Linked DNA regions of Ovis aries. The protein of the gene in region 2 purifies or fractionates together with the protein of the main gene of each other region. This does not show direct contact. Links are inferred from orthologs where the notes say so. Each region holds a gene or a part of one and is shown on either strand. Other genes may lie near its edges.

Evidence for each region.
Region 1: the proteins of SQSTM1 (region 2) and MTOR purify together in Homo sapiens (affinity purification with western blotting; 4 studies listed by BioGRID, with this or other methods). This does not show direct contact. The link is inferred for Ovis aries from reciprocal best matches to the Homo sapiens genes SQSTM1 and MTOR.
Region 3: the proteins of SQSTM1 (region 2) and BAG3 purify together in Homo sapiens (affinity purification with western blotting; 3 studies listed by BioGRID and IntAct, with this or other methods). This does not show direct contact. The link is inferred for Ovis aries from reciprocal best matches to the Homo sapiens genes SQSTM1 and BAG3.
Region 4: the proteins of SQSTM1 (region 2) and EPDR1 purify together in Homo sapiens (affinity purification with mass spectrometry; 3 studies listed by BioGRID and IntAct, with this or other methods). This does not show direct contact. The link is inferred for Ovis aries from reciprocal best matches to the Homo sapiens genes SQSTM1 and EPDR1.
Region 5: the proteins of SQSTM1 (region 2) and NLRP3 purify together in Homo sapiens (affinity purification with western blotting; 3 studies listed by BioGRID). This does not show direct contact. The link is inferred for Ovis aries from reciprocal best matches to the Homo sapiens genes SQSTM1 and NLRP3.
Region 6: the proteins of SQSTM1 (region 2) and VDR purify together in Homo sapiens (affinity purification with western blotting; 3 studies listed by BioGRID and IntAct, with this or other methods). This does not show direct contact. The link is inferred for Ovis aries from reciprocal best matches to the Homo sapiens genes SQSTM1 and VDR.
Region 7: the proteins of SQSTM1 (region 2) and HTT purify together in Homo sapiens (affinity purification with western blotting; 4 studies listed by BioGRID and IntAct, with this or other methods). This does not show direct contact. The link is inferred for Ovis aries from reciprocal best matches to the Homo sapiens genes SQSTM1 and HTT.

Annotation. Positions count from the first base shown.
Region 1 is NC_056065.1:41,657,859-41,661,652, forward strand, and holds part of MTOR (serine/threonine-protein kinase mTOR), read left to right. Parts: intron 1-76; coding exon 77-185; intron 186-874; coding exon 875-1,107; intron 1,108-2,373; coding exon 2,374-2,574; intron 2,575-3,276; coding exon 3,277-3,411; intron 3,412-3,794. UniProt on the Homo sapiens protein: Serine/threonine protein kinase which is a central regulator of cellular metabolism, growth and survival in response to hormones, growth factors, nutrients, energy and stress signals.
Region 2 is NC_056058.1:1,199,408-1,203,201, reverse strand, and holds part of SQSTM1 (sequestosome-1), read left to right. Parts: coding exon 1-108; intron 109-867; coding exon 868-948; intron 949-3,794. UniProt on the Homo sapiens protein: Molecular adapter required for selective macroautophagy (aggrephagy) by acting as a bridge between polyubiquitinated proteins and autophagosomes.
Region 3 is NC_056075.1:39,287,680-39,292,127, forward strand, and holds the start of BAG3 (BAG family molecular chaperone regulator 3), read left to right. Parts: upstream 1-1,373; 5' UTR 1,374-1,726; coding exon 1,727-1,912; intron 1,913-4,448. UniProt on the Homo sapiens protein: Co-chaperone and adapter protein that connects different classes of molecular chaperones including heat shock proteins 70 (HSP70s), e.g. HSPA1A/HSP70 or HSPA8/HSC70, and small heat shock proteins (sHSPs), e.g. HSPB8.
Region 4 is NC_056057.1:51,240,609-51,244,938, forward strand, and holds the start of EPDR1 (mammalian ependymin-related protein 1), read left to right. Parts: upstream 1-1,495; 5' UTR 1,496-1,725; coding exon 1,726-2,030; intron 2,031-4,330. UniProt on the Homo sapiens protein: Binds anionic lipids and gangliosides at acidic pH.
Region 5 is NC_056058.1:38,410,845-38,415,077, forward strand, and holds the start of NLRP3 (NACHT, LRR and PYD domains-containing protein 3), read left to right. Parts: upstream 1-1,140; 5' UTR 1,141-1,177; intron 1,178-3,138; 5' UTR 3,139-3,200; exon of another isoform or gene 3,201-3,367; 5' UTR 3,368-3,405; coding exon 3,406-3,688; intron 3,689-4,233. UniProt on the Homo sapiens protein: Sensor component of the NLRP3 inflammasome, which mediates inflammasome activation in response to defects in membrane integrity, leading to secretion of inflammatory cytokines IL1B and IL18 and pyroptosis.
Region 6 is NC_056056.1:138,726,349-138,730,142, forward strand, and holds part of VDR (vitamin D3 receptor), read left to right. Parts: coding exon 1-58; intron 59-229; coding exon 230-344; intron 345-3,234; coding exon 3,235-3,406; intron 3,407-3,794.
Region 7 is NC_056059.1:116,432,978-116,436,771, reverse strand, and holds part of HTT (huntingtin), read left to right. Parts: 5' UTR 1-369; coding exon 370-896; intron 897-3,399; exon of another isoform or gene 3,400-3,604; intron 3,605-3,794.

The DNA.
Region 1 (3,794 bases), on a different chromosome or scaffold from region 2:
CAAGTCCTAACCTTTTGGAGCCATCCCACCATCAGGGAGACATTAGAAGTTGTGCTGAGTACATCTTCTTTTGTAGATGAGTCAAGAGGAGTCTACTCGCTTCTATGATCAGTTGAACCATCACATCTTTGAACTGGTGTCCAGCTCAGATGCCAATGAGAGGAAAGGTGGCATTTTGGCCATAGGTAAGGACAGAGTCTCTGGTGAGGTGAGAACTGGAAATAAAGGACTGCTCACCTTTGTGTCCACTGCACCCTGTGTCTGCTTCCTACTGGATACTTAGTTCACATTTGTTTAAGGAATTTTAAGGAGCTTCATGGCTTTCAGTGTACTTACTCAGCTATTCTAGCAGCAGTCCTGAGACATAGTCAAAGCAGGTATTTTCAGATATCCATATATCTGAACCATATCTCAGAGCCATTAAGCAACTTTTCTAGGGCCAGTGCACCAGGGCTGAGACTAGAAGCCTGCTTTCATTCCAGGCTCTGTTTTCTCCATAGCGCGGTGTGGCATAGCGGGACTCACAAATAGAAAAGTAGAGTTGGGATGCATTGAATGAAAGGCAGGTAATTTTCAGCTCCCAGGAACTAGTCATCCATCCTGTGAACTATTATTCAGTCCCAGTTTGTTTTCCTTTTCTTCTTGGGAAAACAAATTGTATTTACTAAAATGAGGTCATTTTGCTTTATGTAAGTAGTTCTGGCACAAATGCCATATCTGTTGGTTGAAATGAAAATTGTTTGCATCCTTACTGTCTGGAGATTGCAGTCGGTACTTAAAAGGAAGAGGTCACTGGCTGTGTCCCTCTGAAGGCCACCTACTTTCCTGGGCAGCCTGTGCCCCTCCTCACCTTTTGCCTTCCTGTCTTTTCCAGCCAGCCTCATAGGAGTTGAAGGTGGGAATGCCACTCGGATTGGAAGATTTGCTAACTACCTTCGGAACCTCCTTCCCTCCAACGACCCAGTTGTCATGGAGATGGCATCCAAGGCCATCGGTCGGCTCGCCATGGCAGGGGACACTTTCACTGCTGAGTATGTGGAGTTTGAGGTGAAGCGAGCCCTGGAATGGCTGGGTGCTGACCGCAACGAGGGCCGAAGACATGCAGCTGTGAGTGTCTGGGGAGCAGTGCCTTGTGTCGGGGTACTTCATGTGATGTGCTCAGGGCCCTGGAAGGCAAAGAGTGAGAGGGGTGGCTCCAGGCAGAGGCACTGTGCTTCTTGGTGGCCCTGAATTCTGCCCCAAATCCCTTTCTCTCCTCACCCTGAGCTCCGTTCCTGAGGAGGAAAATTAACGTTCTCTTTCATTGCTTGAGAGGCAGCCCTGTGTGCAGTTCTTACCCTGACCTCTGATTTTCCAGTCGAAAATTCTTCCCCAGAAGGCACCGTTCAGCCATAGGAAAGAAGAGAAGCCACGAGGCTTACAAAGCCTCAGACAGCTGCACTATCTGCAGCATCCCTCTGTGAAGGTCCCTCAATAGCCTGTGGAATAAGGAAGTTCTGGGCTGCAGAGAGGAGCAAGGGAGGTACTCGCTCCCCCTGCTGGGAGAGTGGGTCTGCCTTCTCCCAGGCCTTTCCTGTTTATGTTTTAGTCATTTATTGATTGGTCAGTACACAGTCCAGACTTCCTCTTTCCCCTTGGCTGTTCTGCATTTGAGGGAGTGGTGGCTTCTACCCTCTTGTAGACGCACATCCTCCTTGCTCTCCAGGGCTCATCCTGAAAAAGACTGGTTTGGTGGGCTAAGAATCCAGGTTGGGAGGTGGGGGAGAGTCTGTCCTTAAGAGATAGAATCTATGAACCAGTGTGGTGGGAATAGAAGCTTTAGGTGGATCCTTTCCAGTCGCTTCCCTCTTTAGCAGGCAGCACCATGAGAAAGGAGCCTGCCTGGGTGAGGGGCCTGCCTCTGGTGCCACTCTCTAACTCTAACTTGGGGCAAACCGCCCTGCCCACCTTCCATTTTACCATGGTCAAATGAAAAAAGTAACAAGATTAAATATTAAACAGGAACATTCATTCAGTAAAGGTTTATTGAATGCTTAAGTAGTCCAGGTACATTCTAGGCTATTTATCTATCTATCTACTATCTATTCTAGTGGAGCAGTATATGAAACATCAAACACGGCTGCCCTTTCAGAACTTGTGTCCTAACTTTCCTGTACAAGCATTCTGTTTCTAAACACCCTGTGATAATGGACACGGAGATGTTTGATCAGTTTTACTGTCATTCTTAGGTCCCCAGGAATTCTGAGCTACAAGAGTGGGCAAGTGTGCCATTTTCCTAGTGTGTGTTGGCTCTGGCATGAAAAGAGGCTGTGTTCATGAGAGAACAGAGCTCTCTGATCCAGATGCAAGATCTCTGTGTGCTTTTCCTCCCAGGTCCTGGTGCTCCGTGAGCTGGCCATCAGCGTCCCCACCTTCTTCTTCCAGCAAGTGCAGCCCTTCTTTGACAATATCTTTGTGGCTGTGTGGGACCCCAAACAGGCCATCCGGGAGGGAGCTGTCGCCGCCCTTCGTGCCTGTCTGATCCTCACCACCCAGCGGGAGCCAAAAGAGATGCAGAAGCCGCAGTGGTACAGGGTGAGGAGATGGCTCCATTCCAGCCTCCAGCAAAGCACTGCAGCCTAGAGTGTCGCTGGGCTTAAAGAGCAGCAGTAGACCCCTGGCCACAGAGCTAGCATCATGTCTGCTTTGGTCTTACATGACATTTTAAGCTCAGTGAATTAGTAGTTATTTTGTTGTTTTTCACGAAAGCAAAGATCTGGCCGTAGCTACGCCATTATTTTATGCACCACTAAGAGTGAGACTACAGTGCCAGTTACGCTCACTGCCTTTTTAACAATTATAAGGTGTCTCTTCTCAGAGATGTGAAAGTAGGGGAAAATGAGTGTGTCTGGAGGAACAAAATGCAGTAAATACTGAGAAAACACCAATTCTCCTCTAGTGTTGTGAGTCCCATGCTGACTGCTGCTGCCAGGAGAACCTACTGAGGCTTGTCCTATACCAGGAGCCTTGAACATGGGACTGGATACCTGGGTTCTAGTCTTGGCTGCTCTGTGACCTTGGGCAAGTCACTTAGTTTCTGTTTTTAATCTGCCTCATGGTGGCATTGTGAGAGTTGAAGCTAAATTAGATGAAAGAGCTCAATGAGCTAATATTGTTGGTGATACTGGCACAAGTCCCTGAGCAGGCATGGTAACCTCAGAACCCACCACATAAATGGGCGGGCTGCTTTCTAACTCTGGGTGTTGTGTAATGAAAGCATTCTGCATCTCTCTGTAGCACACGTTTGAAGAAGCAGAGAAAGGGTTTGATGAGACCTTGGCCAAGGAAAAGGGCATGAATCGGGATGACCGGATCCATGGAGCCCTGCTGATTCTCAATGAGCTGGTCCGGATCAGCAGCATGGAGGGAGAGGTGAGAAGCCACTTCTGAGGAACAGTGGGGTCGGGTTCCAGGCTTCCCACGTGCCATTCTGAGAATGAGACGAGGCGAGATTCTCATCCTCACAAGCTTACATTTTATAGGGAAACAGGTAACAGACAAAGAAATAAGAGCATTTCAGACAGCAGCCAGATCTATGAAGAAATGGAGTGGAGGGAAACAGGATGGAGGGGGTGACTCCCTCCCTGCAGTGATGCCATTTGAGCTGAGACCACATGACATGGAGGAGCCAGCCTAGCGGCTGGCAGGGAGGTTGTCCATGCAGAGACTTGAGGGTGAAAGAGAGTTTGACAAGTTCAAGCAGGAAGGAAAGTGAAGCTGGTGCACCATGAGTGGGGAGAGGGAGGCAGGCCCCC
Region 2 (3,794 bases):
AACATGGGCACTTTGGGTGGCCTGGCTGGGAGATGGGCCCACCGGGGAACTGGAGCCCACGTCCTCCTCAGGCAGGGGAGGCCCACCCTGGCCCTGCCACGGAATCAGGTGAGGGTTGTATCTGCTGGCCTCTGAAGGATGAGATGTGAGGGCCTGCAGAGCTGGAGGGCTTTCCCTGTGCCCTAAAATCCTGCATGCCTGTGGCTGGCCTAGGCACTTTGTGGCCGTTTGTGCATTTAATCCTCATAAAATCCTGCAAAGTGCAAGCATCATCTCCATTGTACATCTGGGAAAACTAGTGCCTCGGTGCTCAAGGCCACTAATGCACCTGCCCCGGTGGCCCTCCCATGCAGGTGGGAGGCCCCTCCAGCGCCTGCGTCTCCAGTCGGCTCTCTTCTTGTTCATGCTAATTGTTAGGAAAGTCACAGCCAGGTTTGCTCAAGTCTTGTAAAACAGTTCCCAAGTTAAAAATTTACACATAGCTTGCATTCTGAACTTTTAGATTCTAGTTTTATTCTGATTTTATTAGTATTACTATGTCCTTTGACTCACCTTGTCCTTAGTGACAAAGATGAGGGTATTTGTTTGAGTAAATAATGCTTTTTCCGGGGGAGGGGTAAATAATACATTATACTCTGTGTACAGAGTTTCTAGGCACCAGGAAGGTAGATGAAGGGGGAGTGGTGTGAAAGACAAAGGGGCCTAGGAGGTGGCCTAGAGAGGGGGAGAGAGGGAAGCAATAGGGTATAGGCTGCTGGGAACAGGCCCCGGGAGTAGGGCTTCTGGGACAGACAGGACTGTGACAGGTTTCAGTCATTGAGAGAGATGCTTTGAATTAAAAGTATCTTTTGTTTTTTGAAACCAAAGCCTCTGGTCCATCAGAAGATCCCAGTGTGAATTTCCTCAAGAATGTAGGGGAGAGTGTGGCGGCTGCCCTCAGCCCTCTGGGTAAGTGCCCCTCCTTTGACATCAGCAGAGCGTTTGGTAACCAGTGTACAGGCGGCTGTTCTGTGGCTTTCAGCTGGGATACTGCAGAGGAGGGGCAGCTGATGTGTCTTTGAGACCAGTAAGGATTCGCTGGCCTCATATCAATCAGTCTTGACCAAGTGCTGCACCACAGGCCGCTTGAGGTTGAACTCCCTGACAAATTCTTTAGCTTTCCACACAGAGTGAAGTGGAATCAGCCAAGAATCAGCCAGCATTTGGTTGGGTAATCCCACTAGGGAGGGTAACCAGGCTCAGTTTAAGGCTGCCCTTCATCTTCTTCCTTTGGAAGACCACTCTGTATTTCTCCTTACTTGAGCCTTGGGGTTTCTTTGAGGACTTCAGTGAGTAGTTAGCTGAGATGCCATATTGCTTTTCTTCCCTTTTCTGCAACCCCCAACCTTTCCTGGTGCTTCCTAAGAACTGGGCTTGTGCCACTGTCAGAGGGAAAGGAGTGAGGGAGGAAGGTTCTCGTGTCTGCTGCTGGATTCCCAGGGTGCAGGCCCAGGGTGGGTGTCTGGGTGGGTGAGCTGTGCACCTTCATAGAGTGACTTGGCCCAAGGCTAAAAATAAAACTTCAAACAGCACTTGCTGTGTTGTGGCCATAAGAATCAGCTGATGAAGGTGACTTATGATGGATCCATGATGCCATCTTTGTGACTGCAGTGGCAGGAAGTGTTACCTGGTCTGTCCAAAAGTGGTGTCCAGTGTCTGAAAGAATGCTGTAGGAGGGTGTCCAAGCTCACCCACCACCCGCCCTGTGGCTCACAGAGCATGACTGCCATTGCTTCCAACCTGAGACCATTTCTGCTCACATTGAAGCAGCTTTGAAGTAGCAGTGACATCTTGGCATCACTGCTACATGAAATAGATCTCACACAATTTCTGCATTGGAGTTAAAGACTTTTGAGCAAGTGAGGAAAAATAATTAGTATATTTAATGCTTTCTAAGGAGGGTAACAGTGGAGTAGAGATGAAATAATTGGGAGATAGGTTATTCCTAAACTCTGCCACTCACTTAAGACATAGTGAAGACATAGTAGGATTTTAAGTAATCCCAACTAATGGGTTGTTACTTAGAGGCCATGGAAAATTTTTCTTCGGAAGATAGTAAATGGACAGTGGTTCTCAAGTGCACTGAACATCAGAATCACCAATGAAAGGTTGATTTTTATTTTTTGTTTTTGTTTTTTTATGGGAGGGTATATATTTTGGTGTATGGAAACTCTTAAAACTGATTATCCTGAAGAGAAAAGTTTTCTTTTGAAAGAATGAACAAGATAACTTGGGAAGTCACAAAACCACATCTACATTCAGGCAGGAGACTGTAAAACAGTGAGGAGTTCCAGGTCCCTTGATTGGTTAAGTGGATTTTGGGTAGGGCATGAGGGTCGATGTGTTCTGAAGGCTTCCCAGGAGACTGTCACACTTGCTTTCCATCCTGAGACCCATCTGAGCTTGTGAAGTGTTTCAGAACTGGACCTGGATTCTCCACTCAGGACACAAGGGAATAATTTTAGAAGTGTTCTGAGGTCTTCGGCAGTAAGAATTAAGGCTCTCAGGTCTTTCAGAGTGGCGGGAGTGCTTTCTGCTAACTTGGGAGGAGTCTGGAACCCTACAAAACAAGTTTCAGTGGAATGTGTGTTTGAGTAGCTATTCAAGAGAGCCATTCGAGGGATGGATTAAACTCTGTCTTTGGAGTTACAGGTATTTTCCTTTCTTTTGAGGAACTAACAGGATAACTCAGTCTACTAACTGCTTAGAAGGGAACATTAGTTCCAACAGCAGGGGCCCAGGAGGGATATAACCACTAATACCTCTCAGAGGGCAGTCTGTACAGTGAGTCAGCGACTGAGACCTTTTTTTGATAAGTGCTGTGAGAGCCAGCTGAGCAAGAGCATGAGCCCAGGGCTGTACCTGGCTGGAGGTCACAGCCACTGACTCCTAGGATGTAAAACAGCAGGGCCGTGGAGTCTTCCACAACCCCTACATAGAGGCTTTGGGGATAGCAGGGCAGAGACTGTGGTACAGTCTTCTAAGCCCTGAAGTCTCAGATTATCATCAAGTTGGAAAAACTCTAATTCAGTAATCTCGAAAATTCATTACAGAAGAGTCGCATCATTCACCCATTTTAGAAAGTATATGGGTATCCATTGTACTGTTCTTCTGTCTTTTCTGATTATTTGAATGTTTCACAATGAAAACTGCAGGGGAAATGGAAGAAGAAAAACAATGTAAATATTGCAGATGGGGTACCAGTTGCTAAGCCTGCTTTTATTTTCTCTGCTTGCTCCTCATACTCTACTAAAATAATAGTGAAGGGGTTAAACAAAATAAAGCAACATGGATAAAGAAAAAGGGAAAAAAATAATGGAGGACAAGATAAAACAATCTCATCAAACTTTGGAAGATGGAAAATGGATGGAGGAAAGTAACCAAGGTGGGATAATTTGAGGATTAATCCTGGAGGCCCAACATAGGATGAAAGAATTCCAGAGAGAACAGAGTAAACTGAAGGGAGGAGATGAACAAATACAAGACAGTCTCTCGGCACTAGGACCATTAACCTCTGGATTAAAAAGGGCCCCAGATGCCTTGGACAAGGCCTGAAAAAGACCCCACACCAGAGCTTAAAATTGTCCTGTCAGAACCCTTGGGACAAAGAGAGACTCCTGAAACTCTGAAGGCTGCTGTAAAAGCTTGGGAACTTAAGGAGCACATTAAGAGCTAGAAGACACTGACTTCAAAAGTCTCATCTAAAACGGATTTTCAGCCTCGAATTCTGTACCCAACTAAAATGATCAAGTGTG
Region 3 (4,448 bases), on a different chromosome or scaffold from region 2:
ACAGGGCTTAAACATCTCTGTGTTTTCACAAAGCTGAGTTTTTGTACTTCAAAGCTGGTAAGTAGACCTATGTAAGTGAGACCCCCATTCCATTGAAAATGATTGGCAGTTCTCTTCAGCATTTGCTCTAAAAGGAGTAATTTGGGGGTGGGAAGAGACTCCAAAAAAGTGTTTCTGAGGGTTCCAGAATGTCCTCTGCATTTGAGTTGGAATATTGGGCCCAATATTACTTAGCCCAAGGCATCTTCTCAAAAATGTTTCTGGGGAAGGGAATGATCCTGCAGGCCTAAAAATCTAAAATGAGACCTCCCAACATACCACCTCTGGGGGCATACTTTCTCTCTCTCTCCCAGAGGAAATGAGGTGCTTGGTGGAGGTTACAAGTGCAACCACCATTTCATTACACAAATTTTTTTTCATAATTTGTATTCTTTCCTACTTTTCAAAGGGCTTCCCAGGTGGCTCAGTGGGTAAAGAATCCGCCTGCAGTGCAAGAAACATGGGTTTGATCCCTAGGTCGGGAAGATCCCCTGGAGAGGGAAATGGCAACCCACTCCTGTATTATTCCCTGGACAGAGGTGCCTGGCAGGCTCCACAGGGTCGCTAAGAGTCGGAGGTGACTGAGCACGCATGATTTACACTACTTTCCAAATGAAGGTCAGATTAAGATAGCAAGAACCAACTTGCACCATCAACAAGCCCCAAACCCCAAAGAATGTTTTTTCTTTAAAGTTCTTCACTGCAACGACAGAGTCTACGTTTAAGACATGTGCTTCAGCAACATGCATGCGCTGATGCAATCTTTCTTTAGGATTCGAAAGAAAGGCAGGTGAATTTCTATTTGTACTTCCATTATTCGCCCTGGCTTGCTTCTGGTGTCGGATCAACATTCCAGAGCCCTTTCCGGACGGCCCTTAAGCCCATGGGGAAAAGTGATTAACTGAGGGTCACCAATGTCCCGGAGTATCAGTAATCTGGGGGTACAAAGGCGAGGTGGGAGAGACTCTAGTTTAATCCCCAACGACTTAAAAGGCTAACGATGAGTTTGTTTTTACACGAAGGAGCCAGTCCCGGGAACACCCACGCGGCTCGAAGAAGACCAAGCAAATCTGAAAACCGAAACCGGCCCAGGACACACAGATGACGTCCCCGGGGGTTCGCTCGACCTGCCGCTCGGCGACACAGGGATCCCGCGGATGCAAACCCCTCGCCCAGCTCAGGGAAGACTCCGCCAGGAGCCCCCGACCCGGGGAGCCGCGAATAGGGGGAAGAGGTGGCGGGGTGGAGGAGGGGCGGCCGGCGGAGGCCCCGCCCACGCCCCGCCCACGCCCCGCCCCGCCCCGATTATAGCTGATGACTCAGGGCGGAGCTCCGCATCCAACCCGCGTCGCCGCCAACTTCTCTGGATGGGACCAGAAGTTTCTAGCCGGCCAGTTGCTACCTCCCTTTATCTCCTCCTTCCCCTTTGGCAGCGAGGAGGCTATTTCCAGACACTTCCAGCCCTCTCCGGCCACGTCACCCCCTCCTTTAATTCATAAAGGTGCCCGGCGCCGGCTTCCCGGACACGTCGGCGGCGCTCCCGACTTTCCGCTCCGGCAGCGGCCAGCGAGCGACCCTACACCTGGAGGTCCGGCACCCCGCGACCCCGTGACCCGGCACCCCGCGACCAGGCACCCTGCAACCCAGCACCCCGGCGGCCGCCCCTCCGGGCCGACCCCGACCCAGCATGAGCGCAGCCACCCACTCGCCCATGGTGCAGATGGCGTCCGGCAACGGCGCCAGCGACCGCGACCCCCTGCCCCCCGGCTGGGAGATCAAGATCGACCCGCAGACCGGCTGGCCTTTCTTCGTGGACCACAACAACCGCACCACGACGTGGAACGACCCGCGCGTGCCCCCCGAGGGCCCCAAGGTGAGCAAGGCCCGCGCCGCACCCTTGCCAGTGGCTCCCCCTCCACCTTCCCCCCAGCCCCCCATCGACGGCCAGTCTAGGGACAGGGCCGGGCGGGGGCGGCTGGACTGGGCCCGGCTGCGGGGACGCAAGGCGCCAGGTGCCCGCCGGCCGCAGCCGGTGCCTCGGAGGTCAGTGAAGGCCGCCTGGAATGCACGGATCCCCAGAAGGACGCCAGCTCCCAGGGGGGTCGGCCTGCTGCGCCCCCCACGAGCCCACTCTCCAGGCCCGCCCTTGGCCGGCGTCTGGGCCAGTTTGGGGAGCTTCCCAAGAGGACTGCCCTCCCTTGGCCGTGTTTGGTTTCCGGGGGTCGGGCGGGAAGCGGGACCCGCGCGGTGGCACCAGGTCCCGTCCACCGGCTCCATTCGAGGGGCCCTGGGCCAGGAGACGACGGGTGGCCGGCCTGCTCAGCACCAAGGCCCGGGCCAGGCCCTGCCACGGTCTCCACCCGGCTTCCAGGGCTCAGATCCTCCTTTCTCTCTGCTGACCGTGCTTTGGCAGACGCCAGGGGACCGTTGGCAAGCTTCTGTGGGGGTCCTTTAGGGTCTCTTAGGAATTTTACATCCTCAAGTTCCTAAACTTGGTTGAGGGTATCTGGAGTTCACTCTCCCACCTCAGGCACAGAGTGACTCAGGAGACTGATGTAAATGCATTCCTTTTCTTTATTTTTTCCCTTCTGTATTTGAAATTAAAACTCTATTATTGTTTGAAAGTTGTCCTCACTAGGAATATATTCTAGTATGACTTGTTAAAAATAAGATGCAATCTTCCAGGCAATTTCTAAACTGAAGATGTGAGACTGTCTCCTAGTTGACTATTGCCTTAGATACTGCCTCACCCTGGTCAGAAAGAGATTAAAAAAAAAAAAAAATCAACACATTCCCTTTCTCGTTATGCTACTAAAATATTTAGGATTTTTTCTTATCCCCAATACACAAATAATTTAGTAGTAATACTTTTGTATTAGAAGTATGCCTCATTTACATATACGCAGGGGTGTATATACTACTTAATCCTTAGAACCATGAAAATTTGAAAATATAAACTTGGAATGAGTCTGTTAATTTAAAAAATTATAACTAATTGTACTGCTCTTGTAATTTTTATAACTTTGAGCTTTTTCAAAACGTAAAGCTTGGCAAAAAGAAATAGTCTGGGCAAAATAGAAGACATAAAGAGCTGGTAAGTTATTTTTAAGATTTAAAAATTCACAGAATTAAAAATGTTTTATAAACCATTGTTTTAGAAGAAAAAAATCTGTGTTAACCATCTTCAGTTTTATGCAGCTTTTTCCTTTAAAATATTTATGAAACTCTGGTGCCCAACAGTGAGATATTGTATAATCAGCAGCTTATGCTTATGAGAAATTAATTGTATATTTATTCCTGAAAATTATTTCAAGAGGCTGTAATTAGCTGGGATCGACATAACCATGTATTCCTTTCGCTTGTCTGTTCAGCCCATTATTGAGTGAAACTAAAGCTCATTTTAAACCAGCTCTGTTACTGCAGACTGCAAGGGTGTAGATCTTTACTGAGGCCAAAAAAAAAACCAACCTGTCTTTTTGAGGCTTCCTTCCTATAGAGACAGGAAGAGTCAGAATCCACTGGCGTCAGTGGTGGTGAGTGTAGGTCAAGTAGGAACGTATCCACTGTGAGTTCAGTGTACATGCCACATTGTTGGCGCTTGGTTTTCAACGTGAAACTCACCCAGCAGGTTGAGATCTTATGTATGATGGATGGTTAGGCTGTGGTTTTACAAACTTTTTCAAGGCAAGGGGGCGGGGGGAACAGGTTAAGTTACTGTTATTTTTCTCAACAAGTAGAACATAAGAGCTAGTAAATCAGAAGTTTGATGCCATAAAAGTTGATTTGAAAATTTAACAGAATTTTAAAGTTGAAAGATCGTTTAAGATCTTTTAGCTCAGCCTCTCTTTTTCTGAGAAAGAAACCCAGAGAGTTCACATGTGTTTCCAAAGGCCATTCAGCCAGGACCAATAGCAAAGAGAGACCTACACCGGAAAGTCCTATTTAAGAGGCAGTTTATTGTTCAGAGGAAGGTAGAAGAGTCTTAAATTTCTTAAATTTCTATGAAATTTAAGTGTGAACTGGGAAGGCTGGAGTACTTGATTGTTTTTCTGCCCTTCTGACTTTTGTGACTACTTGGATGGTGATGGCTGGATGTGATCAACTCAAAAAAAGAGCTGCTTACCAAATTAATTGAGATTTCTCAACGTGGCACTAGAACATAAGGAGAAAACTAACATTCACTTCGTTAGCTCTGTGGGCTTCATGGCTTTCAAGACTGTGCTTTGATGTACACAGAACAACTATGTGACTAATTCACTTTAACTTCTGTGAATGACACCTCACTCCAGAATAAATACAATGGAAAATAAATACAGTGGAAACTCTTTCAGTCAGTTCAGTAGCTCAATCATGTTTGGCTCTCTGGGACCCCATGGACTGCAGCATGCCAGGCTTCCCTGTCCATCACC
Region 4 (4,330 bases), on a different chromosome or scaffold from region 2:
TGAGCGCCGAAGAATTGATGCTTTTAACTGTGGTGTTGGAGAAGACTCTTGAGAGTCCCTTGGACTGCAAGGAGATCCAACTAGTCCATTCTGAAGGAGATTAACCCTGGGATTTCTTTGGAAGGAATGATGCTAAAGCTGAAACTCCAGTAGTTTGGCCACCTCATGTGAAGAGTTGACTCATTGGAAAAGACTTTGATTCTGGGAGGGATTGGGGGCAGGAGGAGAAGGGGACGACAGAGGATGAGATGGCTGGATGGCATCACAGACTCGATGGACATGAGTCTAAGTGAACTCCGGGAGTTGGTGATGGACAGGGAGGCCTGGCGTGCTGAGATTCATGGGATCGCGAAGAGTCGGACATGACTGAGCGACTGAAGTGAACTGAACTGACAGTACATCATGTGAAATGGTGGACTGGAAGAATCACAAGCTGGAGTCAAGATTGCTAGAAGCAATATCAACAACCTCAGATATGCAGATGGGTAACAAAAGAGCCCCTCGATGAAGGTGAAAGAGGAGAGTAAAAAAAGCTGGCTTAAAACTCAACATTCAAAAAACTAAGATCGTTGTTTGGCATCTGATCCCATCACTTCATGGCAAATAGATGAGGAAAAAGTGGAAATAGTGACAGATTTTGTTTTCTTGGGCTCCAAAATCTCTGCGGACAGTGTCTGCAGCCACGTAATTAAAAGATGCTTGCTCCTTGCAAGAGAAGCTATGACAAACCTATTAGCATATTTAAAGGCAGAGACATCACTTTGCCAACAAAGGTCCATATAGTCAAAGCTATGGTTTTTCCAGTAGTCGTGTTTGTGAGATATGAGAGACCAGAAAGACAGCTGAGGACTGACAAATTGATGCTTTTGAACTGTGGTGTTGGAGAAGACTCTTAAGAGTCCCTCAGACTGCAAGGAGATCAAACCAGTCAATCCTAAAGGAAATCAACCCTAAATATTCATTGGAAGGATTGATGCTGTGAAGCTGAAGCTCCAATACTTTGGGCACCTGATATGAAGAGCCGAATTTTTAGAAAAGACCCTGTCTGGGAAAGATTGAGGGCAAGAGGAGAAGGGGGCTACAGAGGTTGAGATGGTTGGATGGCATCACTGACTCAATGGACATATATTTGAGCAAACTCCAATGAAGGACAGGGAAGCCTGATGTGCTGCAATCCATAGGGTCGCAAAGAGTTGGACACGAGGTGGTGACTGAACAGCAACAAAAACAGTTTGATAAAGGGACAGGGTTATGTGGGGTACAGCAAGTGCAGTGATCCAGCTTTCTTGATCTTGTGTTTGAGTTTGTCCTCCAGTGTTGGTTATCTGCTGAATACTCAACTTAGCAGAAGAACACTTTCCTTTTCACCCCACCACCCCACCCCCTTTAAAACGCGGATACCCTTCAGGATGCTAGTGGCACCACTGCCACTGCATTTCCTGTTGGCAGCAGAGAGCAAGTGAAAACAGTAGCGGCCGCCGGCAGCGGCCCAGGCAGAAACAGCTCTCACACGATTCACGGAAGCTTTCCCGTGGCCGATCCCGTCTCCCAGGCCTTGCGCATCCTGATCCCAACAGCTGGAAAGGCCCCCGCCGTGACCAGCAGCAACTTGGCCAAGATCCCCCTCGGGCACAGTTGGAGAAAGCCCCGCCGAGTGCCTGGGCTGCTCAGCGCCCCCTTGGGCGCGGGCTGGCTCTCTGGGGACTGCGGCCGCGGCAGAAGGCGATGCCTGGGCTAGCTCCCCTCCGCGTGGCCCGAGGGTCCCTGGACGCTTGGCTGCTGGGCGGCCTCTGGGTCTGCGCGCTGGGCTGCCTCTGCGGCGGGGGGACAGCGGTGCCGGGGGCCGGGGCGGGGGCTGGGGGATCTCTTGGGGCTCAGCGCCCTTGCCAGGCGCCGCAGCAGTGGGAGGGACGCCAGGTGCTGTACCGGCAGAGCACCGGGCGCTACAGTCGCGCCCTGCTGTCTTACGACGGGCTCAACCAGCGCGTGCGAGTGCTGGACGAGAGGAAAGCGCTGATCCCCTGCAAGAGGTACGCGGGGCGCGGAGAGCGAGGCCAGGGCGGCCCGGGGAGGGCGAGGTCGAGGGAGCTGCGCCGGAGTGCGGGGTTTCCAGCAGCTCGCGTCGCCTTCCTCCCATCAAAGATAAACTTCACGGAGAGGATCTCTTGGGAACAGCAGAGTTGGGGGCTGGGTGTCGGGCTGGCACACTGGGGGCGGCGTGCTGGCGGGCACTCAGTGAGACCTCGCAAGGCTGTAGCCGGTGAAGAAAGGTGGCGCCCCCGGGCCCTGGTTCGCCCACATTCAAAGGCTGCTGAGTCAGCTTCCTGACTCCTGGTGCCCCCTTCAGTCTAGGGCGTGTCTTCTGCACTATCTCAGCTTTTTCAGGAGACATCTGTGAGGGAGACACGACGAATACATATTTTATAAGAGGTTTTTTTTTTTTTTTTCCTTTTTAAAGGAATATGACAACTCAACCAAAGTGTGCGGGATCAGTTAAAAGAACTGTCACAACCGTTGAAATTTTAGTCTACTCCCTTAAAATTTCTTTTAAGCAAGTTTTACATTCGGTGATCAAAAAGCCTGTATGTCTGTATCTTCTTTTTTACAGAACATGATCTCTTACCTGTTGTTATTTGCTATTTTAATAGTTGGCCGATACCTATTTTTAATGGCTGCACAATATTCCACAGAGAGGTTATGCTACAATGCTTTTTAACCACTGGTGTGATTATTTACCTTTCTGCATCTGTTATTGCAAAGGACACCCTCTTTCCTGAGACTGCAGTTTGTTCTGACCCCATTATAACTTGATTTCTATTTTGGGATCGCCACCTGTCAGTTCCTTCTGCCTCATTCCTGTTTCTCTCTGTGTGTTCCTCCAAGGGTTATGCTGGCCTCTCATATGGAGCTGGCATAATTAGGAGGTGCCATGTGAATGTCCACAGTTTAAGGCTCCAGTGGGCAGTAAAATGTGGAGAAAATTTGATATCATTTCACCTAAAGGTGTTTGTTGAAGTATTAGGCATCTTGAAGACAGTATGCAAATGCAAGAATTGTTCAAAGCAATATATTTGAGAATGCAAAATAGTACATGATTGTAAACTACGAGTGCTGAGGAGGCCTGGAATAGCCGAGTCATCATGGGGTATTGGGAGTATCTTTTCTCTTTCAAGAAGATGAATGTTTTCTGTTAAGTCTCGAAGAACTTTGTATTAATAATAGCAAAATCCAGCATTTGAGTACTTGTTATGTACCAGGCATGGTCCTGAAAATGTTCCACATACCATATTATTTAGTTTAAAAATCACAACTACTGGACAATGCAGGTTTTATGATCTCCATTTTACAAGCAGAGAAATCTGGGGTCAAGGGAGATTGGATAACTTTCTCAGATCTAGAGCTAGGACTGGAGAAAGCCGAGTGGATTCTGACATCTATGATATACTGGGCTCTTGTTTGTTTACTTATTCATTCAGTCTGCATTTTTTGTGTGTCAGTCATTTTGTATAATCAGAGTGGGTCTTGGGTTTCAGGGAGGTTATGGTCTGGGGGTGGAATCATATAAGGAAGAATTCCCATATAGTGGGGTAAGGGATGAGTTGGGCTTGAGAGCACCCCAGACAAGCACCTAACCTGGAGGTGCTTCCTGGAGGAGGTGGAACAGGAGTGAGCCCCCAAATCCCTGGACGGGGTGATCATTAGGGGGAAGTGGGTGTGGAGGGAAGACTGATCCAGGAGGATCCATCCAGGTGTATTCTGGGACATCCTGCCACAGGCAAGGCTGAGAATATTCCAAGAACTGCAGGCCAATCACTATTAGACTGAAGCGTGGAGTATGGAGGGAGGTTGGGGATCCAGGGAAGGATATTTAAACAGTGGAATGCCATGGCTGGGTTTTTTAAAGAGCACTGGATGAATGGTTGAGAATAAAGAAGAACAAGAGAAGAAGCTGAAACATGACCTAGGAGATGTTTGTAGAGAGATCCAGGTGGAAGAGGGGGTATGGCAATGTGATGGTGAGAAGTGGACACTTTTGAGAAATTTTAAGGATACTCAAGAGGCTTATTGAAGGAGGTGCAGAGGATCAGATGGTATGCTGTAGGGTGGTGGTGGGGGAAGTCAGTCCTGGCTTGTGAAAGCTAATGGTACTGACGGCATTGAGTAGATGGTGATGCTGTTTGCTGAGATGGGATTTGGCTTCTGCACTTCTGAAGAAGGGTCAAGTACTGCTCTTTGTGTGCATTGTCCTGAAGCCTTGTATAGTGGTGGCTTACAGATGAGTCCATGTCAAAGATGGACTAGGATTGAGACAGACCTGGGACCTGGGACC
Region 5 (4,233 bases), about 37 Mb from region 2:
AACAGCATAAGTGTTCATAATCAGAAGAAAGAATAAAGACAACTAAAGCATCCATCAGTAAATGAATGAATAAGAAGGTGTGATATATATATATACATACATATATATTTAGAATGTTGGAATATATGTATATATATTGGAATATATGTTGGACTATATATATTCTATATATATGGAATATTTTATATATTCATATGACTATTTCATATGTATATTAGCATATACATATATGAAAAATTTCACAGTGGAATGTTATTCAGCCATGATAGATAAGGAAATCCTACCATTTGCAACAACATGAATGGATTTTGATGACAAAATGAAATAAATGAGAGGAAAGATGAATATCAAATGAAATCACTCATGTAGGATCTAAAATAGTCAAACTCATTGAAACAGAGTAAAATGACAGTTTCCAGGGGCTGGGGAGAGACAGGAAGAGGGAAATGTTAGTCAGAGAGTGGGCGGTTTCTATTATGCAAGATGGATAAGTCCTGGAGATCTGCTCTACAGCACAGAGCCTGTAGCTAATAATACTAAATTATGTGCTTAATATTTGTTTATGGTAGATCTTATATTGTGTTCTCACCACACACACAAAGTCAATTTTCCCCATATAATAGGGTGGGGAGAAACTTTGGGAGGTGATAAACATGCGTATAGCCTTGATGGTGGTGATGGTTTCACAGGTATATACTTACCTCAATTAAGTGGTGAAGAAAAGTAACAGTCAGTGGTTACTGTATTGTCTACTGACCTCCTCTATGTGACAGCTTGGAAATGAATGGGATCTGCAGTTTGATAGCCAGGTTATGCTTTCGATTGTCTGTTTATGCTGCTATGGTATTCTCCATCACAGACCCCTCTGTGTCATCAAAACACTCACATGGCTGCTGTCAGAGTCAGAGGGAACATTCATTGAGCAGCAGTTGAATTTCCTCCCCTTTTCTACCCCAGTGGCCATTGAGGGGAGGCCAGGTATCTCTGGCTGCAAGCAGGCTCAGCTTTGAGAGCTTCAGTTTGGAAAATCCAGTGATGTGAGTAACCGTTAGTCTCTGCTTTTGCCTGTGATGCAAGCCTGTTTGTTCCAAACTGAGACCACATCCTTCCTGCTGGGTTGTGACTGCTATAAATTCGTTTAGTTTCTCCTCTGGCTGTTCCCGAGGCTGACGTTTGGGTGAGTCCAGCTCTGGAGCGGGGTGGCTGAAATAGCCTGGGGAAGAGTGGGGAGATTGTTTCAAGGGGCAGAATTTGACTAGAGGTTCCTTCTGCCAGCCTTCAAGTCTATCCTTCAACAATGTTTCTGGAATGTTTCTTTTATGTTTATCAATATTTGGTCGCTATGTGTGCCAGTGCATGTGTGTGGGGAGTGGGGGTCAGGGACAGTGACCATGGCTCACACTCACTCCCCTAGAAAGTGGATAGATGGGATGCATATAAAGAAATGAGCATGTTTAGAAACCAAGGGACAGAGAATGTAAAGGTCAGGATGGGGGTGCGCTAAGGTTAGGGATAGGGTAGCACAGAGGAGAGGCAGAGTCCTGATGTGGATGGAAAGATTGATGCAGTGGTACCTGAGAGGGTTGGCAAAGCTGGTCGATCTGTCTGGAGTAGCCCCTTTCCTCCTGCCCCCTGCCAAATGCATAGGGGATTGACTTGACAGGGGACGGCAGGGGGTGGGTGATGCATGATGCAAGGAGTAGAGAGGCAGGAATGGAGACAGGAGTGTTGAACATGTTTAAAATGTCTTGAACATTAAACTGGGTTTTTATGAATTCCAGTTTGGAGAGTTCAAAAGCTTCATAAGCTTTCCCTGGTGGCTCAGATGGCAAAGAGTCTGCCTGCAATGCAGGAGTCCTGGGCTTATAGGGCTTCTCCCTTCCTATGATCCTTTTCTAAATCCAATAATATGAAGAGATCAATTCCAAACAAAGCCAATGTGCTCATCCATCCAAAATCTAGAAATTGTGTATGATCAAGAGATATAGCAGCTGATTTCAAGTCTTTGTGGAACTTGAAGTCTAGTTAGGAAACCAAGACATTGAACATTACAGTGTGATTGAACACTACTCTGTGTGATAAAACCTGGGAAAGTGCTTTTGTTTTTTAACAATCTGATTTTTGGTTTTCCCTGGTGGCTCAGACGGTTAAGAATCTGCCTGCAATGCAGGATGGGTTTGATCCCTGGATCAGGAAGATCCCCTGGAGAAGGAAATTGCAAACCACTCCAGTATTCTTGCCTGGAGAATTATAAAAGAGCCTGGTGGGCTACAGTCCATGGGGTCACAAAGAGTCGGACACAACTGAGCAACTAACGTTTTCACTTTCATCTATATTTTGTTATCATCTTCAACCATTTTTTCCTCCTATTTGACTGAGATACCTACTTAAATGGTGGAAGAAATGTTCTCACACTTTTAGTGCCGAGAAAAATGCAATGTTAGGGGCATGACACAGAAATCAGTGACCCTAATGTAAATCCTGGCTGTGAAAGTCTGGGCAAGTCACTTAGACTAAGACTCAGTTTCTACTTCCATACCACGGAACTAGGAATATAATTTTTCAGTTTTGTGCATCAGTATAGCACCTAACTCATGAGAAGCTCTCAATAAATGTGAGTTCTAATAATTTTTATAATTGTGAATTTTGCAAGGAGACATTAAAGAAATGTATATATTTATCATTCTTCCTTATCACCCCAAGTTCCATCTCATTTCAGTTTTAATCAATCAATGTGTTGATAAAGGGTTTGTTGCAGATTATGCCTTCCTCTGCATGCTTCTATGTTCTCTTTCCTTCTCTCTAGACATATGCTGTTCTGTTATCACCATAATTACTCATTCCTGGCATCCTTTCTTCTCTTGTCCCTCATTCATCTTTCCTTGGTTCAAAACAGAAACAAGAAACCAGAGTCTTTCAGGTGGAAGGAAGGTAAAAAAATCTTTTCCACTCTGCCATTTTATAGATGAGGAACCTGAAGTTGAAAAATAGTGGAGAGATTGCCCAGGGTCATACATAGCCAGTAATCAGTGGGATCAAAGTGCTCTTGGTGATACATCAAGATAGCATCAGGAAGCAGTTTAAGATTACATTGCACTGTTAATGTGATTGTGTTGGTGGTTTTATTTCTCTCCATAGGAGCACCTTTCTTCCATGGCTCAGGACACACACCTGGGTCGAGCCAATAGGAAAACTTTCTGGTAAGAATTTGACTCACTTTTAAAAGCTAAAGATGGCAACTTGTTAGAATCCAGTGATATTTTTTTCCTTTCAATTTTCTGGGTTTTTGATACTTTAGTTCTCTCTGAGGGTAAATTTCTGAAAAGACATCTTAACCATATGCTGTTTGTACCACCTAAATTCCAAGTGTGGATTTATGCCCAAGGACTCTGACCAGGTCTGCAGATGATCATGGCAAGTGTCCGCTGCAAGCTGGCTCGTTACCTGGAGGACCTGGAAGACATAGACTTTAAGAAATTCAAGATGCATTTAGAAGACTATCCCAGTCAGAAGGGCTGCACCTCAATTCCTCGGGGTCAGACAGAAAAAGCAGATCACGTGGATATAGCCACCCTGATGATTGATTTCAATGGGGAAGAGAAGGCATGGGCCATGGCCAAGTGGATTTTTGCTGCAATCAACAGGAGAGACCTTTATGAGAAAGCTAAGAGGGATGAGCCAGAATGGGGTGAGTGGAATGAAGATAGTACTTTTTAAAAATCATGATAAAATATACATAAGATAAAATTTACAATCAGAAGTTTTAGTGTATGATGCAGTGCTGGTAAGCTCATTCACACAGTTGTTCAATCAATCTCCAGAACTCTTTTTCATCTTGCAAAACTCTGTACCCAAGAAACAATCTACCCTCCTCTCAGCCCCTGACAACCACTTTCTGTCTCTATGAATTTGACTATTCTAGTACCTTTTATAAGTGAAATCATAGAATATTTGTCTTTTTGTGTGGCAGCATAAACTTCCTCAAGCTTCATGCACATTGTCTCATATGGCAGGATTTCATTCTTGTTTAAGGTGGAATAATATTTTGTGGTATGTGTATACCACAGTTTGTTCATTCATTCATTCATCCATCAATGGACTTTCTAATTGCTTTAGCTTTTGACCATTGTGAATAATGCTTCTATGAACATGGTTGTACAAATCTCTTTGAGATCTTGCTTTCAATTCTTTTGGGTTTATTTCCAGAAGTGGAATTACTGGCTTATATGGTAA
Region 6 (3,794 bases), on a different chromosome or scaffold from region 2:
GCTGGACGCCCACCACAAGACCTACGATGACACCTACTCCGACTTCAGCCAGTTCCGGGTATGTGAGCTGGAGGGCGAGGGGATCTGGGCACAGCACCTGGGGAGGGCTGGAAGCTGCTCTGCCCTCTGACCCTGGGGAGGACTGCCCCTCCTATAAACAAAAGACCAGGGCTGGGGGAAGAAGATGACCTCTAATGTGGGCTTCTGACACTCCTCCTTTCCCTTCCAGCCTCCAGTTCGCAAGGATGAGGACGAGGGGAACCATGCTTCGAGGTCGATACTCACTCCCAGCTTCTCTGGAAACTCGTCCTCCTCCTGTTCGGATCACTATACCTCCTCTCCAGGTGAAGCGGACAGCGCACTCCCTCCCCAAGGACCTAGAGCTTTCCCAGCCCACCTGCCCTTGGCTGCAGCCAGAAGGACAGCACTCACTACTGTGTGCTGCCCACAACAACCCCTTTTTAGAGAAGAGGTGTGACTTGCCCAAGGGCCTGTGCTGAGAACTCTGAGGAAGAGGCCAAGCTGTTGCCTGCAAAGCCTCTGTTCTTTCCTCTAAGCCAGGCTTCTACCCTGGGCTCCCTACCTGATTCTTTTCAGTGGTCCTTTGAGCCTGAGCCCTTGCTGCCGGGTGGGTTGTTTGTTGGTTTGGTTTTTGTTTTTTCCAACTTTATAAAAATGTAAGATGGCACTAGTGGTAGAGAACCACCTGCAAATGCAGGAGATGCAAGGGATGTGGGGTCGATCCCTGGGTCAAGATCCCCTGGAGGAGGGCATGGCACCCCAATCCAGTATTTTTGCCTGGAGGATCTCCTTGGACAGAGGAGGAGCCTGGCGGGCTACAGTCCATGGAGTTGCAAAGAATCGGACACAACTGAAGCGACTTAGCATGCACACATGCAATCGACATACAGCACTGTATAAATTTAAGGTGTATAACATAATGATTTGATAGATGTATATATTGGGAAATGATTGCCACAATAAGTTAGTTAACCTCCTAGAGTTACAAAGAGTTTCCCCCCGCCTCCCTGTGATAACATTTAAGATGTACTCTCTTAGCAACTTTTAAATATAGCTGACAGTGCTGTTAACGGGTCACCAGAGCCTGAGCCTGTGGAAGGTGAAATTCAACATGGAAGCCCACCTTTCCACTCAAGCTGCCTTCCGCTAATGTCCTGGAGGACCTGTCCCTTCCAACTCATCCTTGCTTTCTTATTGTGCTTCTCTACCATCCTTTGCATCTTCCTGCCTCATCCTCCCCTATCCTTGTCTTCATCCTTCTACCTCCCACCTAATCCAGCTGCCCTCTGCTGGATAGGAGGGCAGGGATGGAAAAGCTCCCTCCCCTCTGGGGAGCTGGAACCCTCAGACATGGTGCTTCCAGACTCACTGATGGATCTGTGCCCAGATACAGGGGTCTACAGAGACCCCTGCACAGATAACTGATCCCTGAGCCCCTCACCTTGTAGTTAACCCCTCTCCTGTGTTAATTTTCTCTATCCACCTTCCTACTCTTTTTACTTTATGGTATAATCATTTTTATCAATGAAGGTCAATCTGTATATTATACATTGGTTTGTACTTCAACTTTTTTCGGAGTATAATTGCTTTACAGTGTTGTAAAGCAACTGCACAATGCTATACAGTTTCTGCTGTAGAGCAAAGTGGGTCAGCTATACATGTACATACATCCCCTCCCTCCGGGACCTCTCTCCCACCAAAGCCCATTCTACCCCTTTAGGCCATCACAGAGCACTGAGATGAGCTCACTGTGCCACCCAGCAGGTTCCCACTAGCTATGTTTACACATGGTAGTGTGTACGTGTTCATCCTAATCTCCCAGTTCCTCCCGCCCTCTCCATACCTGCTCTCTGTCCCCATTACCATTCTTTATGTCTGCATCTCTGTTCTTGCCTTGCAAATAGGTTCATCTTGTACTTCGACTTTTAATAACAGCCCTGGTGGCTCAGATGGTAAAGCTTCTGCCTACAATGTGGGAGACCCGGGTTCAATCCCTGGGTTGGGAAGATCCTCTGGAGAAGGAAATGGCAACCCACTCCAGTACTCTTGCCTGGAAAATCCCATGGACGGAGGAGCCTGGTAGTCTACAGTCCATGGGGTTGCAAAGAGTCGGACATGACTGAGCGACTTCACTTTCACTTCACTTATGTTATTTAGAAGTTTTGATTTCCCCTTACAGGTTGATTAATCTGAGGTGCTCACCTACCCCCATGGTATGTTTGGTATGTGTGTGTGTGCGTGCTCAGTCGTGTCCGACTCTTTGCAACCCCATGGACGGTAGCCCACCAGGCTCTTTTGTCCATGGGATTCTCCAGGCAAGAATACTGGAGTGGATTGTCATGCCCTCCTCCAGGAGATCTTCCTGATCCAGGGATCGAACCCACATCTCTCTATGTCTCCTGCATTGGCAGGCAGGGTACTTAGGCAGAGTACCTGCATTTACCACTAGCACCTGTATTATATCATATTTTCATGCCATTCAGTACATACCTAGAATATCATTTTTGAAGCTGCATAGTTTTCTGGGGTATAATGTACAATAACACATCTAAACCCCCTATCATTGGATATCTAGATTTTCCCCCCAGCTCTCGATGAAGATAACAGCATGCTTGTGGCTAAATATTTGCACTCATTCTGAATTTTTCCTTATGCTGAATTCATGGACATAGGATTACTGGTCACAGAGTGTATGTGACTGTAGGCTTTTGACCCTCGTGGTCAAATTGCGCTCTAGATTAGCTGCATAGCTGTGTGCCTCCTTTAGCACCCCAGCACTGCACAAGGATTGCCTAATCTCCTGCATCTTCACAAATACTGGTGTCAACCTTTAAACATATTTGCTTCTAGTTTAGAGGTGAAAAGTGGATGTTCTTCTTGGCTGTTCTTTGATCACTAGTGAGGCCGAACACTGTTTTCCACAAGTTTATTGGTTCCACATTCATCTTTGACTCTTGATCATTAGGAATGACATGCAAAATCACTCTTAAAGAAGTCTCATATCTCAGAATGTCTCTGCTCTTTGATTTTCCTGCTTCTTTACTCTGTTGAAGAAAGACGCGGGGAACCCCAGGGGGACGCCTGGGTGGAAGTGACTTTGGAGAGAGGCAGTCTTGCTGAATTCCCAACTGGCACTGCTGCCAGAGAACAGGAGGGCCTCACAGGAGGCAGGCTGGCTCAAGTAATTCCTTTTCTTCCCTCTTTCTTCCCCAGACACAACGGAGCCAACCAGCTTTTCCAACCAGCATCAGAGTGAAGAAGACTCCGATGACCCTTCTGTGACCCTGGACCTGTCCCAGCTCTCCATGCTGCCCCACCTGGCTGACCTGGTCAGTTACAGCATCCAAAAGGTCATTGGCTTTGCCAAGATGATCCCAGGGTTCAGGTAAGGAGCTTCTGGGGCATCCAGGAGACAAAGTCAGAATCCTATCCTGAGCCCAAAGAAGTCTTGGAAATTCTCAACCTACTGCTTCCCAAAATACACCTTCAGGTCCTATCCCAGACCTCCTCAATCAGAATCTCTAGGCGAGGTCCAGAAATCTGTATTTAAGAAGTGCAGCCTCTCCAGCATTATGGGGCAGGCCAGCAGTGGAAAGCCACGCATCCTTCTCAGTGTCTGTGTGATAGAACAGACACTGCCCGGTGAAGCTCAGCACCAGGAATTCCAGTGTTGCAGCCAGTGTGTCAGAACTGGGTTGACAACTCTGAGTTTGCTGCTGTGTCCACTCCAGCTGCCTTGAATCTAATTCTCATATTATCTTTTTGTTTTAAAA
Region 7 (3,794 bases), on a different chromosome or scaffold from region 2:
GAGAGCCCCGTGGACTGAGTCCCTGGGGCCGCCGCTCCTTTGCTCTCTGTGAACCACCCGTCCAGTGTAGGTGCTGTGCTGAGTGCCCGTGGGAGTCACAATGTGGCCCTTGCTCTCAGTGAGTCTGTCATCCCTGGAGAGGTAACCGTGGGAACGGTTACTTCCAAAGAGAGTGATGCAGGTGCCGGCTCAGGGCAGGGCCTGGGGCAGGAGCTGCGGGGGAATAGGGCAGGCTTCCCCGCTGGCTCAGCGGTAAAGAATCCGCCTGCAATGCAAGAGAGGGAGATGCAGGTTTGATCCCCGGGTCAGGAAGATCCCCTGGAGACAGGAGATGGCTGTCTGCTCCAGTATTCTTGTCTGGAAAACCCCATGGACAGAAGAACTTGGTGGCTACAGTCCATGGGGTTGCAAAGAGTCGGACAAGACACAGACACACACAGACACATGCACAGACACACAGACACACACAGACATGCACAGACACACACACACAGACACAGACACACACACAGACACAGACATGCACAGACACACAAACACACAGACACACACACAGACACAGAGACACACACAGACACAGACACACAGACACATGCACAGACACACACAGACACAGACATGCACAGACGCACAGACACACAAACACAGACACACACAGACACAGAGACACACACACAGACACACACAGACACACAGACACACACAGACACACACAGACACAGAGACACACACACAGACATACAGACAGACACAGAGACACACACACACACACACACACTCTCTCTCTCTCTCTCTCTCTCTCTCTCTCTCTCTCTCTTACTTTACCTCTGTCCCCACAGGGAGCTCAGAGGAGGAGCTAGACCGGAGCGGACAGCGCAGGAATGTACTTTTATTCGGTGGGTGAGATCAGTGTTCGGCCTTCACTGTTTCGCTCGTTCCATTAATTTTGCCCCGGTTTTAGCTGGGGGCCTCTGGCGCAGCACACGCGGGGCTTAAGGGAATCAGGCAGCGGATTCAGAAAGCTGTGTCGTTTGTTACCTGTGTTCTTGCAGCCTAGTCCACACATGAGGAGAGAGACGCAGGTCCTTTTACAGCTTGAATCTGTGTGGGTCACTTTTCTGCTGTGACAGCCGTAAGTCGCGAGGTGGCTCAGTTCAGTGCTTGTCAGCTGTTTCTGGGTGCCGCCCCCAGGAGTTGTCTCAGAGCCCAGGGTAAGAGGCTGCCCACAGAGGGGCTGCTGCCTGTAGAGCTGGGAGACCCGGGGAATGCAGCCCATTCAAGGCTTTCGGCAGATTTTCACTTTGGAAAGGAGCCGTGGAGAAGAGAGTTTGCCTCCTAACATATTGGGAGAGGTCAGTGTTCTTTAATTTCCTTGATAACTTAAGGTCTTCAACTAGGTGAGCTGCCGTAAGTGAGACTTTAATGTTGTGGCTCAAAGAAGAGAGCATTTAAGCTCTCATAGTGCTTTCTTTTTCAAATTGAGGTATGATATATACGTACACTCAGGCGCACACACACACATAGTTGCTGGTGTTCACCCCCTCAGTCATGTCTGACTCATTGCAACCCCATGGACTGTAGCACCCCAGGCTGCCCTGCCCTTCCCGATCTCCCAGAGTTTGTTTGCTCAAACTCATGTCCATTGAGTCAGTGATGCCATCCAACCATCTCATCCTCTGTCACCCCCTTCTCCTGCCTTCAGTCTTTCTCAGCATAAGGGTCTTTTCTTAAGAGTCAGCTCTTCACATCACGTGGCCAAAGTATTGGAGCTTCAGCGTCATTTCAGTTCAGTTGCTCAGTCGTGTCCCACTGTTTGTGACCCTGTGGATGACAGCACGCCAGGCTTCCCTGTCCATCACCCACTCGCAGTTTACTCAAACCCATGTCCATTGAGTTGGTGATGCCATCAAACATCTCATCCTCTGTCGTCCCCTTCTCCTCCTGCCCTCAATCTTTCCCCTCTTTCCTGAGTCTCTCCCATCAGGAAGCTTCCATAAGCCTCTTATCCTTATCTGTCAGAGGGCAGACAGAATGAAAACCACAATCACAGAAAACTAACCAGTCTGATCACATGGCCCACAGCCTTGTCTAACTCAGTTTCAGTGAGCCGTGCCGTGTGGGGCCAGATGAGACGGGCAGGCCATGGTGGAGAGCTCTGACAAACTTGGCCCACTGGAGAAGGGAATGGAAAACCACTTCAGCATTCCTGCCTTGAGAACCCCATGGACAGCATGAAACGGCAGCTTGAGCATCAGTCCTTCCAGTGAATAGTCAGAGTTGATTTCCTTTAGGATGGACCGGTTGGATCTCCTTACAGTCCAAGGGACTCTCAAGAGTCTTCTCCAACACCGCAGTTCAAAGGCATCAATTCTTTGGCACTCATCCTTCTTTATGGTCCAGCTTTCACATCCATACCTGCCCACTGGAAAAACCATAGCCTTGACTAGATGGACCTTTGCTGGTAAAGGAATGTCTCTGCTTTTTAATATGCTGTCTAGGTTGGTCATAGCTTTTCTTCCAAGGAGCAAGCATCTTTTAATTTCGTGGCTGCAGTCACCATCTGCAGTGATTTTGGAGCCCAAGAAAATAAAGTCTGTCACTGTTTCCATCTTTTCCCCATCTATTTGCCATGAAGTGAAGTGATGCTATGATCTTAGTTTTCTGAATATTGAGTTTTAAACCAGCTTTTCACTCTCCCCTTTCACCTTTATCACGAGACTCTTTAGTTCCTCTTCACTTTCTGCCATTAGGGTAGTGTCATCTGCATATCTGAGGTTATTTATATTTTTCCTGGCAATCTTGATTCCAGTTTGTGCTTCACCCAGCCTGGTATTTCGCATGATGTACTCTGCATAGGAGTTAAATAAGCAGGGTGACAGTATACAGTCTTGACGTACTCCTTTCCCAATTTTGATCCCAGTTCACTCATCAGTACCTTTTTTGGTGTGCTCTCCTCCCCTTCCAGGCCTTGGTAAATTTCACATCAGTTTCCATTCCCTCAAAGGCAAAGACTGTGTGGCATAAGTTGAATCATCCTTCTGTGCCTTGAAGCGGATGCCTTGAGCCTCATCCTCGTGTGTGTCAGCTGCTTGCTTCTCTCGCCGCCAGGCCGTGTTCCATCACTCCGCTGAGCTGTTTGCCCACTGGGACGTGTGGCTTGTTTCCATCCCCACACTGTTGAAGCGAGTGACTCCAGAGGGCGGGGCTGGGGGGGCCTCTGCCTCCTGTGGTCACTTGGGACCCAGGCTCCCTCCATCCTGTCACCCTGAAGCCTTCTTGTTGTCTTTGGCTGTATGTTCAAAAACTGGGTGTTAGAAGTGTCTGTTCCAGTTGGGGGAAGCTAAAAGAAGGGGGTGGTGCCCTGGGCAAGCCACGGGGCAGAAGCTCCAGCTGCTACTTGGTTCCCGTTTCGTCTGCGAGAACAGAGTCACTCGTCTCTGCCTGGCTGCAGGGAAGCTGGGCCGTGGGGCTTCTCGGCAGGAAGCTTGTGTCTGAGAAGGGAAGCTCGGTGTTTTGGTGGGTGACCAGCAGCCCGCAGCCCAGCTCATCAGCGAGTCTCTCTCAGGAACGAGACCAGTGGGGGACATGGTCACCTGTCCATGTGGTGAGAGGCCCGCTGGCTGGTCACGGGAGCCCCTCTCCGCACGCCATGGGCGTGGCCTCGCATCCAGGCCTGCCTTTCCTTCCCCTGGACCCGGCCTTTCCTTCCCCTAGGCCCGGCCTTTCCTTCCCCTGGGCCTGCCTTTCCTTCCCCTGGGCCTGCCTTTCCTTCCCCTGGACCCGGCCTTTCCTTC